Linked DNA regions of Schizosaccharomyces pombe. Each later gene encodes a partner of the first gene's protein in a complex. Each region holds a gene or a part of one and is shown in the gene's direction. Other genes may lie near its edges.

Region 1 (8,790 bases):
AGGGAGCCAGGAATATTTCAATATTAGCTGGAGGAGGAACTATGAGAGGGTTTCCGACAAGAAACCCTTTTAATACCGCTACTTTATACAGTTCTTTACCGACTATGAACATCTTCGGTCAAATGCAGCAAGTGCGTTGGAAAACGTATGGAAACGAGTATCAACCCTCAAATAGAAAGCGTAAAAGAAAACACGGATTTTTATCTCGAATTCGTTCTGTTAACGGTCGTCGTGTTTTACGAGATCGAAGACAAAAAGGGAGGATGTATCTGAGCCATTGAGTACATATTATCTTTTAATGGGCTCTAATTTGCATTAGTAACCTCTATCAATTCTTCATTTAAGTAATGCTTTCTAGTTTGTGATACATTTTCTTTCCATTGGTTCTTTGTTTAATTTTACTTGTTGAACTTTGAACTTTAATAACTTCTTTAAAACACGAGTTTATAAAATTTATTTTCCATGTCTGCGACTATATTTTTCATGAACAATTTTCCATCATTTATAAAATAAACCGTAATTTTTTTATATATTGGGTGCGATCATATCGGACTTAACCCACTTTTCTACCGTTTCTTTAGAGGTGCTTAAAAGCAAAAATTGTCTAGCTTCTAAAGCTATCCATAATTGAACCATTGGGTTTGTGAGTGAGACATTGGATTTCGATGAAGCAGAACGAAGATATGGTGTAGCATTACTTAATAGATCCATTTCTGGATATAGTTGGCGTCCAGCGCCTTCAACTAAAAGGATAGATAGCACAGTATTTGCGAAATTTGCTTCAATTCGAACATGATGCTCTCTCGCCATAGTCATTACTTCTTGTAATATAGTTCCTATTTGAAGTGATTTCAGTGAAAGCGTGCTCTTTTGAATTTCATTCAACAAATGTTCCATTTTAAGAGCAAATATGTCTTTGTTTATAACGCGTTCTGTCTGCCTGCTCCTTTCAACCATCAACAGTCCAGCCTCATAGCCATGGAAAGTAAGTACGGCTTGAAACAGATCCAAAAAATTTTTCTGATCCTGCGTACTAAGTTTCGTTACTAATCCAGCATCCAAAAATACTAAAGTCGGTCGATAGCCCAAGATGTTTAATTCTTCCATAGCAGAATCCCATTCCTCCGTCGAACATGTACTTAGAATTTTATAAATTGAGTCATTAATCTCATTATCTTGATTAAAGATTGTTTTAGGGATTCCTTTGTAAAATTTAACAAGGACATTACCCGGATGAAGATCAGCATGTGTAAAGTTGTCAACAATAAGCATTTGAAATAATGCATTATTTCCTGTGTTAGCTAACAACTTGTTAAATGGTCCTGACTTATGTTTGAGGAACGCGCTTAATGGGATACCCGGCATATAGTCTTCTAGTAGGATTTGATTAGTCGTGTAATCATCATAGGGAGCTGGAAATTCAACATATCTATTTCCTCTAAAGTTAAGACGGAACTGGTTGAGATGAAGCGCCTCATAATGTAAATTCAATTGCTGGTTTAACATTGCCCCAAATACCTTAACTTCGTCGGGCAGAGAAAGCCACTTCATTGAAGGTACCAAATTAATTAATTTTGCGAAGAAACCTAAGATTTGTAAGTCTAAAGAAATGTATTTTTCAACATTCGGGTGCAAAACTTTAATGGCTACATCTTGAGTCACTGGCGCATCAGAGATATTTTTCTGTCGAAACCCTATAGATTGTAGCATACTTGTAAAGTAGGAATTATCTTGCTGCGTAGCTGCTTTCTTGATGGTAGCCGTATAGACTTGAGCAATTGCTCCAACACCTATAGGTATTGGGTTAAAATTAACAAAAATTTCCTCGATAGATTCCACTTTATAAGTCTTGCAGATGACTGATTGAGTATAGGCAAGGCTGTGGGGCGTTACATGTGAATGTAATTTGGACAGTGTTTTACAGAAAGCAGGAGGAAACAAATCTGTCCGTGAAGCAGCCCATTGTCCCAACTGCAAAATAAAAAAATAATGTTAGTAACATGATAAGCGTAAATTCAAAACGTACCTTGATAAACGTTGCTCCTGCTCTTTCTAATTGAGTAACGAGGAAACGAAGCCAAATGGATACGGTTAAAGACGACAAAGATCGAAGATGCAGGAAAGAAATAAGAGCGATAAACGGTAAGGTAATAATAATTGGAGAGAAAATAATAAATAAATTAAATGACCTGAGGAGAATATTAAAAAATTGTTTTATTTTTCCAAAAATAGAACGAGGTCGATTGCTTCTCTCTTCTAATTCAAGTTCGTCAAAGGAGAAAATATTATTCTTTCGATTTTTGACTCTGTATAAAATCCATAATCCTCCGACCGTAAAAGGGAGGACAAGAAATGTAATCCTTAGTATCCTCCATTGCTTCTGGTCTTCACTTTTTTGTCGGGTTGTAAACTTTCTTGCAAATATAGGTTTGGGGAATAAAGATATATGCTTCAATCGATTAACCAGTACGTGCTTTTTTTTGTATGGTGACCAAACTGACTGTGTCCCGCATAACCTTTTCCATCTTGTGTTCTGCGAGTTAACGACAGGAATATAATTTCTTTGAATAATGAAAGCAAAACGAGAGTTTGCAGAAGGAATCATGCTTAGACTAAGTCCCGAACGTATGTGAGAATTCCAGTGAGAAAAACTAATCATGTTCACCAATTATTGACTTTCAGAAGAGCATTTCCTTATCAAGAATCAAAAAAATAAATAAACTAATTACAATGGGTATTTTCGATTGAAAACACTGGCAAACCTGATAAAGAAAATAGGAATTGTTCAATAAATGTGTATAGCAGCTACTAAAAGAGGTGTTTCAAAGAATTTAGGAAACCCTGTCAACCTTTAATATCTTGAAAATAAAGAATGCACCAGTTCAAAAATATTGCTCAAATTTACGTGTCACTAGTGTCTATTGGTGTCAACGTCGAATGACGCTGTCTACTTGTGACTGGGAGAAAGAAAAATAATAATTGTTAGCCAAAATGAAGACTGTAATAATAATCAATTCTTTCATTTTATAAATAAAATATTGACTAATTAATGCTCAGTTCCTATTTGGATTCTATAGAATTGAACTTACAGTATGATAAACTGGATATGATCATCTAGTACGTGAAGAAACATTTTTTTATTCATTATTACCAATAAAATGTAATTTATCAAAATTTCAAAGTTCTAATTGAAGGGAAGATTATTAAAATATAAAAAATGACTGATTATAGGAATCACATTTTTTTTCCTTATACACCTATAATCGGTAATATTCAAATAAGTTAAATAATCAGTTCATGGTAGTATTCTGCTGCCAAAGAGAGATAATTGTAAAATCGCTAGCAGTTGATAAAATAAAGTATAAATTGAAATTAAAATGGAATTGTTTGTACTGAATTAAAAAGCTTTACCATCATTACTTCAATTGCCGTTAACTCAGAGACTAGCATAGAGTTTATCTATAGAGACTCTTTGATTGATTTAATAAAAAGCCTTTGATCGACGATGGTTCATTCGCCAAGTTTCATTGATGAGTAACAGTTGACTGAGAATATTTCACCTAACCCATTCTTGATAAAAGTATAAATTGGAAGTGCTAATTTAGAACAAATTATTAAGTTCTTGGCTCAAAATTTTGAGATGTCCCTACAGGATGTGTAAAAGTTGAGTATGAATATTATTACTGATGCCCAGCTATCAAATGTCATCCTCTCCCCAACACTACCAATTCATTCGAAAACATACATATTGAATGAAAACACACGAAAATCAACGATACTGTTTTTTAGATTCTGACATTTGTAAATTACGAGAGGGTATTTTGAACGAAGTTGAAGAATTAATTCAGGATGACCGAAAATTTGCAGTCGGAATCAATTCCCCATGAAATACTCCCTAAGGAGCCTTTTGATTTACCAATGAACAACTTAAAAAGCTCTCCTAAAAATAAAGATTCAGAGAAACGAATAAATAATTCGATCGCTGAAAGTGAGCAGGTTGTTGATTCGGCTCTATCTAATCCAGAGACCAATGCTAATGAGGATATTATCGCACCTCAATTGCCTTCTCAAAATTCTGAAATCATTGAAAAAAACTCGCCAGTGAACAAACTGAACAGTTCCACGTCCCTCACAACTCATCAGTTAGCGTCACTTCCTAAATTAGAGGTAACAGATCATGATAATGTATCTGAGGCAGAAACTGTAGTCTTAAATGAAGATGAAGAGAAAGAAACATCTTTAGTTGGTTCGGTATCAGTCACTGAGGACTTAGGTGACTCAAGTGCAATTGGCAGAACCATACTGGTAAACAACTCTGTGGAACCTCAGATGGAAAACACAGCAAATATAACCATTGTTAGTCCTTCATTGAAGGAATCTGACTTTGAGTCTGAAGAAAAAGCTACCAATGACAACAATGGACTCATAGAGACTAACCACAACTCGAAACTTGAGGAGTCTTCTGAGCATGAGGAGGAAGAAGACGAAGAGTCGAATATTGAAAGAACCGAAGATTCTGACCACCAGATACCACAAAGAGGTGGAACTTTAGAAGCACCCAGAAAAGGTGGTCCTCGAAGTGGCGTTGGAAGTCGAAAGCGTAAACGTGCAACAGTTTCTCGAAAATGGTCTACTAACAGTGAGAGCAAAATAAAAAGGGTAGCTCTTGAGACCAGCCAAGAGGAATCCGATCGTGAGATTGCAGATCGTCGTTCCGCATCTGAACAGGCTCATGAAGCTGACGATGAAAAGGCTATAAAACGGAAAGAAGCGTTTGATGCTTTGCTAAATATAGAAACGGAGTTTACTTTTTTACGAAACCGTTTATATGGGAAGAAACTGTTAAAGCTGAACGAGCATGAGGAAATGATACAAAACGAAACCCATGAGCGTTTTAATGCCTGCATTGATCTTATAACAGAGCGGCGAGATGATCGTGTGCGTTTAGCTACTGAAAACCTCATGAAACAACTTGGGAATATAAAAAACGTAATGGACTATGTAACGAAACAGAGGAAGTATCAGTTACTGTTTGATAAAAGAAGAATACGACAAGCGCTTCTAACCAAAATTGCAACGAAGTGCTTTCAGCTTTTAAACAAACAAAAATCTGTTCACGATCCCACATATATTACTCAAAAAACCATGTCATATCGCCAAAGTGCCTTGTTACAGAAGCAACGAATTGAATATGAAGCTGCAGTTTTGTGTGAGCTTAATAGTTTTGCTGGGTTTCCGACAGCACCTATTATCGAAACAGCTTCTTTTGATGACATCCGCAACGACCTTTTAGAAATGGGATGCCTCAGTGAAAATCAAGACTAATTTCAAGCATCCTCATTCCCCGCGATAATTCCTAATTTCCTTCACGTTTTACTTCAATTTTGACACACAATTTCCTTTTTGGTACGGTGTCAAGAGTGTTTTTTTTTTTTCAGAGCCTAGTTAAAACTCTTGCCTTTCGTTATCTATTCTAATGTATTTTCTTTTTTTTTTTTTTTTTTTCTAAGCGATAATATAACACATTCGCTCTTCGTTTGTTTCATTTTCTTTAGAATTTACATATTCGGTTAATATTTTTAATTCAGTATTTGTTTCTGACTTAACTAATGAATTAATTTTACAGCGATTCTTTAAGTTTGTAACAGCTATCCGTCTTACTCATTTTGCCTTATAATAAATTTGCTTATGAACAATTAAGTATGTTTAAATTTGATAATAATCATGTGCTTCGCAATCAAAACTAGTTAAGCAAAGTATCCTACTTATCGTTCGATAAAGCTGACTTGTTGACGCATTCAATGGTGTGGCACTTAGCGCCGTAAACAAGTCCTATGTACATTTGAAGGATTTTAATTTAACTGATTTAATAAAAAAAAAAGATTTAGTTTGTTCAAATAAGTAAAGTAATACTCCTTTCACTTAGACTCAATCCGTTTGATGATAAAAAGGTGCGTTATACGGAAATGAAGTTTCCTCTTCTCATAATCGTTTTCTTTTTATATTGAATAATTTTGTTAAATGTATAAATGGAATAAAAAGATTTTCTTTTTCAACAAAACATTCCTCTATTCGCAATTGCATTGCTAACTTTCACCAAGTCGGATGCCAACTGCCTTTTACCTAATTTCAGTGTCAAAGAGCCAACAAACATGTTAGAAGGCCTAGTTGCCGGTATGAATTATACCTTTTTTTGAAAGACATTGATATTAATAAAATAATTAGGCCTCTTGAACAAAATTTTAGGTTCGTATGTTGACAACTTGGATACTAAACAACTAAACATCGGCGTTTGGGGTGGCCATGTTAGTTTGCATAATTTACGAATAAAACCTGAGGTAACTAAAAATGAACGATTGATTGCAGTTTCACTGACAATTGTTTTATAGGCCTTAGATAAACTCGGAATTCCCATTGAAATCACTAGTGGTTTAATTGGCACGTTTACGCTGGAAATTCCATGGTCGAATCTTCGGAACAAATCTTTAACGATCAATATTGAAGACATATATTTGTCAATTCATCCCCAAGCGAAAAACTCTTTAACACGCGATGAGTTGGAGCAATCTCAACAAGCTTTAAAGCAGGAACAGCTGGATAGTTTTGAAATCTTACGGAAAAATTTTCGAGAAACTTTAGAAGAGTCTTCATCAAATCCAAATATAAGTAGAAAACAATCTTTTATTGAGTATCTTATTGCCAAACTTACTGATAACATTCAAATATACATCGAAAGAATTCACTTGCGGTTTGAAGATAATTTGAGTGATCTTGAAAAACCTTATTCTCTTGGATTGACGCTTTATTCGTTAAGAGTAACCTCTACAGATGCTAGTTTTACCGAATATTTGCTTTCAACCGATCCAATTCCTTCCTCTTGCATTCATAAAATTATTACTGTTGATTATTTCTCAATATACTGGATAAGTAAGTGTGAAATTTCTAAATGCACTACTACAGAAGACATATTCTCTTATTTAAAGAACCTGATTCCTAGTGCAGAAAAGTCACCTGCTTATAATTACATTTTAAAGCCGCTACGGGCAACCGCCCATGTTGTCTTATTTCGACATCCGACAGACCAGATAATGCAATTAAGGGGAAAATTATCTGTTGAAGAAATATCAATTACGCTAAGTGATCATATGTATTACAGTTTACTTGGTGTTATTGACTACTTTCGTGTTGTAATGAAGCAACAATATTATCTTCAATATAGGCCTAAATCGACTCCTAAAGAGAAACCATTGGAGTGGTTTAAGTATGCCATTTTAGTTGTTAAAGATTCTGTTCATGAGAGCAGATATCACTGGACTTGGAAATACTTTAAAAGGAGAAGGGACGACAGAATAGCTTACATGCATATTATTCGTAAGAGGTATTTGAATGAGCAAATATCAAAGGAAGAAATTGATTTGCAAAAAAAGATAGAGAAACGAAATTCTACTTACGATCTAATTAAGTACCGTTCACGTGTGCATACATCTCTGATTGAGGAAAGGAATTCTATTTATTTAAAACCAAAAACTTCGGCAGCTCATGGATTGTACGATTGGTTTTCTGGGTATATACGAAAGCCGCAGTCCCAGGATGAAGATACATTAGCAAGTACTGATAAAACAGCCGCTGACTTGACTGATCAAGAACAGAAAGAATTTTTTTCTGCAATAGAATGGAGCGGACAATTATATCCTGATACCGTAAATTTAGATCCGGATATGTGTATGGCTAATGTTGAAGTCTCTATCGCTAAAGGAAGTTTTGTCATACAATCTCACATTAATGGACGAGTAATACCTTTAATTAAGCAAAGGTTTGAGAGTTTTGCAACAGAATGTTTTATAAGGCCTCAATCACTGAAATTGAAAGTGTCTCTTAAGGATTTGGATATGTTTGATGGCATAACGAACCCCGAGCTTGAGCCTGCTCGTGTAATTTTTGCAAAGCCTTCTGTTGAAGAAAGTGAAAGTTTGCAAAAAATCCCTGAAGCCTACAGAACACATTTGTTTTTTTTATTGTTAGACACCAAACCGGTGTATAAAGCGAGTTCTACTCTAATCGTACATTTGCGAACTTTGGTTATTATTTACAATCGAGTTTGTATTGAAAGTCTGCTAGCTTTTTTTGTTCCTCCAAGAACAAAAATCGAGCACGTTTCTGAATGGGGATATTCTGCAGCTGCAAAAGTTATGACCCTAGCTAGACAAACTCGTGCTAGTTTGGATTATGCCCTAGAAATGCACAAGACTTCCGATATGACAATTGACCTGCAAGCTCCCTTGATTGTTGTTCGAGAAGAATGTACGGATTTAAAAAGCCCTACACTGTTCCTTGACGTGGGTAGAGCGTTGGTACATACCCAATTAGTTGATGATGCGATTATCGACAAATTCAGAAAACTCCAGAGCAAAAAGATAAACAACGAGCAATTAAAACAACTAGAAAACTTGATGTACGACAAGTTTACCATCTCATTATTTAATGTTCGATGCTTAATTGGGCCTGATTATGAAACTGGTTGGCGTTGCTTACCCAAAGGGTGTGATTACCATATTTTGAAAGAATGCTCTCTTGACATTAACTTTGAAATATCAATCCTTCAAAAAGCTACTAACTTAACGAAGTTCAAAGTTTCAAGTCATATGAAGCATGCCGAAATTATGTTTTCTGATGTGCAATATAAGGTATTCATTAATATGATGAGCAATATATTGCCTACGCTTCCTGTTGCTGAAATACCATTTACATACCAACAATTCCTTGACGCGGTTAAGCCTCCTCCTTTCTTTG
Region 2 (3,987 bases), on another chromosome or scaffold:
ACGCTTTTGAATATTATTTGAATCCATAAGCTCTAACTCTGGATAAGTTTCGCATAAAGACATAAATCTACTAAACTTTTCCGTGAGCGAAAGTGTATCTGATTCTTGGTTTGAAGGCTCTTTTAGGTTCATAGGGTTTAGCCATTCTATGAGACTATAACCTAATTCTTTAGCCAAGACCTGAACTGCGGTACTCTTTCCACAACCAGAAGGACCACAGATCAAAAGTAACCTCTATGATTTTGTTAGCCAAGAAATATTTTTGAGAGAATTAGGGGAGATTTAACATACACTTTCTAAAGAATCCGTTAACATCCATTGCTTAATTGCACTTATTTTGCTTTTATGCACGGCAAGATCAGCCGCTTTTTGAGGAATGTATTTTTCAAACCAAACTATGCGCACCGTTAATTTTTGAACCTTTTTAAATTTTCTTACGTTGAAATCGATCTTCTTTTAAATTATTGAGATGAACAATTTTGTTTTCTTCATCAGAAAAGGCTTCAATATCTTCTTCATGAATATCGGTTATCGAAGCATTTTTGTCGCGTGAAGTTTTTGAAACTAGAGAAGGTTTTTCAATCTTTCTTATTTTCTTCTTTTTTAATGATCTCTTTGTAGATTCATGAAACGACAACTGTCGCCTCATGCCAGATATATGTTTTATTCAACAAAGAAATAGGAAGCTAAAGGTAGAGACTTTGTAAATCATTAGATAAAATATATATTAATAGTTCACAAAATTTTAACAGCACAAAAAAACGAGTGAATTGATTAATTTACTGCTGACAAGTAAATGTGTGAACTAGTGAAAATATACAAGTACTGTATATGGAAGAGAATAAGTGAGTAGGTTTCTTAAGTACTCTGAAACTGCTTCCTATAAAGAAGAGTAAAAAAGACATGTGTATAATTTATTTATAAATCATTTATTTGTACATTTCTCTTATTGTAAGATATATTGCGAAAGTATTTATTACAAATTTACTTTTTTTTCTCATACTGTAAACAATGATCATCAATAAAAAAGTTAGCTTTTTAATTAATGAACATCTGAACGATAAAGAATGAATAAATAAACAAGTAAAATAGTGATATATTTCAATTGAGAAATTACTCTAATGGACACAGAAATGTATTTCTCTTCATTTATAAAATCAAACAATTGGCATTTTCAATTATGTCGTATATGAGTGCATTAGGAACTAGCAGCTGGAAAGGCAAAGCTGTAAATATTAAGAATATAGTAATGAGTATATTTAACCTTGATTTGGATTGCGACATTACACTGGAAACCAAAGGAGGAATTGTTTCATTAGAAGCAGTCTAATAATCCAATGTTGCTGCATCAAAACTCCCTATTTTGTTGATAAACATAGTTAGCCGAGCTCTAACTCTTTAAGAACCGATATGAACTCCATTGGGAAATGAGCAAGAATAGAAATCAACCAACACTACAGAAAGTTCATACCCATACATCTAATGTGGTACTTTTAATCCCCTATCCATCAGTATTTCGCTTGGCTTAATTATATTTGATGGGATGTATTTCCTTTTTGGAATTGATTTTTCGCATAATACTGGAAACAGAAACCCTTGTGAGCAAAGAAAAACTTGGGAAACCCACTTGATTAATATGGCAAATAATTTTTTTCTTCAAAATGGCATTTATTTTCCATTTTGTATTTACCATTCAAGTAACATGTTTTTTTGACAACCTAACCCTACCTACCGGTTTCGACATGTGTTCCATCCATCCTTGGGATTTTACTAACACCAACAATCGTTTGGCATAAGGTGAAACTTGGAATTGCTGTTGGCTGTAAATTTCATCTAAAGTCGGTCGCTCTTTTGACTTTTGCATAAAAGAATTGTACATAAAAACAACAATTTGGAGTAATTTCAGAGTCTACTTGATTTAATTGAAAAGGTTATCGACAGCTTGCTCGACTTTATCAAGGAAAAAGGTAAGATGAAATCGAGTCAAACGCTTGTTTATTCGATCCCTAGAAATGTGGAGAAGGACACATGTGCGGCAGCCATTAAGGCATATCAGTACCTAATATCTCCGCCGCCTTCTCCCATTCCAAATGACAAAGTTGCAAGTACTGTTGATGTACCTAAGTGTTCTACAATACCTGAATCTCCAAAAGATTCTATTGTGGAACCAAAGCCGACAGCAACACCTGTTGCGCAACTGCATTCCAAGGTTTACGATCTGTACCGAGATTCACCTAAAATTTGGCTTCGCCGAGAAAGGCAATGGCTTCAGCGTCATTCTCCAGCATACAGGTTTTCGACTCCAGCTGCCAAACGTCCAAGAAGGCAACCCAGCTCGTTTCTGGATGTGCACGCTTCTAATACCCGTAAAAGAGGTTCTCCTGATACGCCGGACTCGGGACATTCAACTCCGCATTCAAAAGGAGATGTTCATCCTGGAATGCCTCAACATAATACGCGTTTCAAGCAGTCCAGTAGGGAGTTTTCCTCCAACACCCAGGCCATTGATGTCGCCAATACACCATATGAGCTATTGCCTGATTATTCTCCTGATATGTCTGTTTTGGATAAACGTTCTCATCCTCGCCCCCTTCGTAGCGAATGGAAGGGCCCTCCCCTTGATCTTTCCAATGATGAGAATAGACACCTTTTACATCCTGCTGAGCTACAGTTGGCTGCAACACTTCGATTGCCTTGTCTCGTTTATCTTGACAATAAGCGTAGAATCTTTGCTGAGTGGCACAATCGCCGTACTCAAGGCCTAAGCTTTAGGAAAACAGATGCTCAACGTGCTAGTCGTGTCGATGTGAACAAAGCTAGTCGTCTTTGGAAAGCTTTTCACGATGAAGGTTTCTTTGACGACTAATTCGCGAATCGTTCATAATCCTGCTGGCCTTTCAAAAAATAGATTTTTTCTCTCTTTTTCTCTTTTGGCGGGTTAGGGAAATAATCAAATTTAAAAATTTCGAAAAACCACGGATTTCATTTTCGTTGGATTATTTATTTTTTTCTAGGTGTTTTGAATTTTTTGTTTACAATCATTTGCATCTCGGTAAAACCTTTCTTTTTTTTTTTGGATATTTCGTCTTGAAGTCGGTGTCCATCGTTTTATCTGGCCAATAACCAGTAGTATATACCTCAAGTCCCTCTTTTCTTCCTTCGTTCACTTTTTGTTTTTTTATCCTCCCAAAGATGAAAAGCATCATGTAGTCAGCATTTGTATTAAAAAATTCATTAATACAGATGTGAAATAACTCTCTTTTAAAAACGTTCGTTTCTCCTATTTACAGTAGATATTGTTATTTTTATACCTAATAACCGATAACCATCAGTTCCCTAATCAGACGGATTTTAGGGGTTTTTAGTTATTTTACTCTACTCAATTAGATCCAATGCTTAGCGGATAATTAATAATTGATTATTTATTCTTTGCTATTAAATTAATTAAACCATAGAAATTATAATGGATGTCCGACGTTAATATCCCAGTATTAATATACCCCAGTGTTGTAATGTAATGAATATATGGTCAAATCCAGCTTTTCTTAATCCTTGCAAAAAAAGTAAATCGACACGTAAAAACTTGCAATACCCGTGCAAATTTTAGTAAAAACCGATAACATATATCCCCAAACCAATTAACCAATATAATAACCCAAGAGCCCTGCTCTAAATGAAGTTTTCAATCTTATTGCAATTTTCAACTTCACATTGCATCTAAATCAAGAATTTACTGAAATGTTATCTTCTAGCTTTCTAAAAATTTATTGCATTTAAATAGTAAATCCAACGTGTAATAAAAGTTGGAAAAATCCCATGTTGAATGATATCGAAACTTCTCAAGTAAACAATTTAACAAGCAAACGATCAGGTTCAATGAGATTTTGATAAACAGCATCCTTAAGTGCAAATGACATGTTGACAATAAGAGAAATAGCCAAAGCTGTTCCTACAATCAATGGGCCCCAATAATCAGTCATTGGCGCA

What was found.
Region 2: dep1 (region 1) and laf1 share a complex: the UniProt entries of both Schizosaccharomyces pombe proteins name them as parts of the RPD3C(L) complex.

What each region holds. Positions count from the first base shown.
Region 1 is NC_003423.3:3,796,066-3,804,855, reverse strand, and holds dep1 (Rpd3L histone deacetylase complex subunit, Sds3-like family protein Dep1), read left to right. Parts: upstream 1-3,706; 5' UTR 3,707-3,849; coding exon 3,850-5,325; 3' UTR 5,326-5,671; downstream 5,672-8,790. Other genes in the region: mrx14 (mitochondrial 54S ribosomal protein bL34m), read left to right, coding at 1-281; cqd1 (ABC1 kinase family protein ), read right to left, coding at 526-1,971, 2,027-2,659; vps1301 (lipid transfer protein), read left to right, coding at 6,153-6,174, 6,226-6,338, 6,390-8,790. UniProt on the Schizosaccharomyces pombe protein: Component of the RPD3C(L) histone deacetylase complex (HDAC) responsible for the deacetylation of lysine residues on the N-terminal part of the core histones (H2A, H2B, H3 and H4).
Region 2 is NC_003424.3:5,250,020-5,254,006, reverse strand, and holds laf1 (clr6 L-associated factor 1 Laf1), read left to right. Parts: upstream 1-1,772; 5' UTR 1,773-1,972; coding exon 1,973-2,866; 3' UTR 2,867-3,487; downstream 3,488-3,987. Other genes in the region: RFC-like checkpoint protein Rad17, read right to left, coding at 1-234, 292-395, 439-649; vtc2 (polyphosphate synthetase), read right to left, coding at 3,840-3,987. UniProt on the Schizosaccharomyces pombe protein: Component of the RPD3C(L) histone deacetylase complex (HDAC) responsible for the deacetylation of lysine residues on the N-terminal part of the core histones (H2A, H2B, H3 and H4).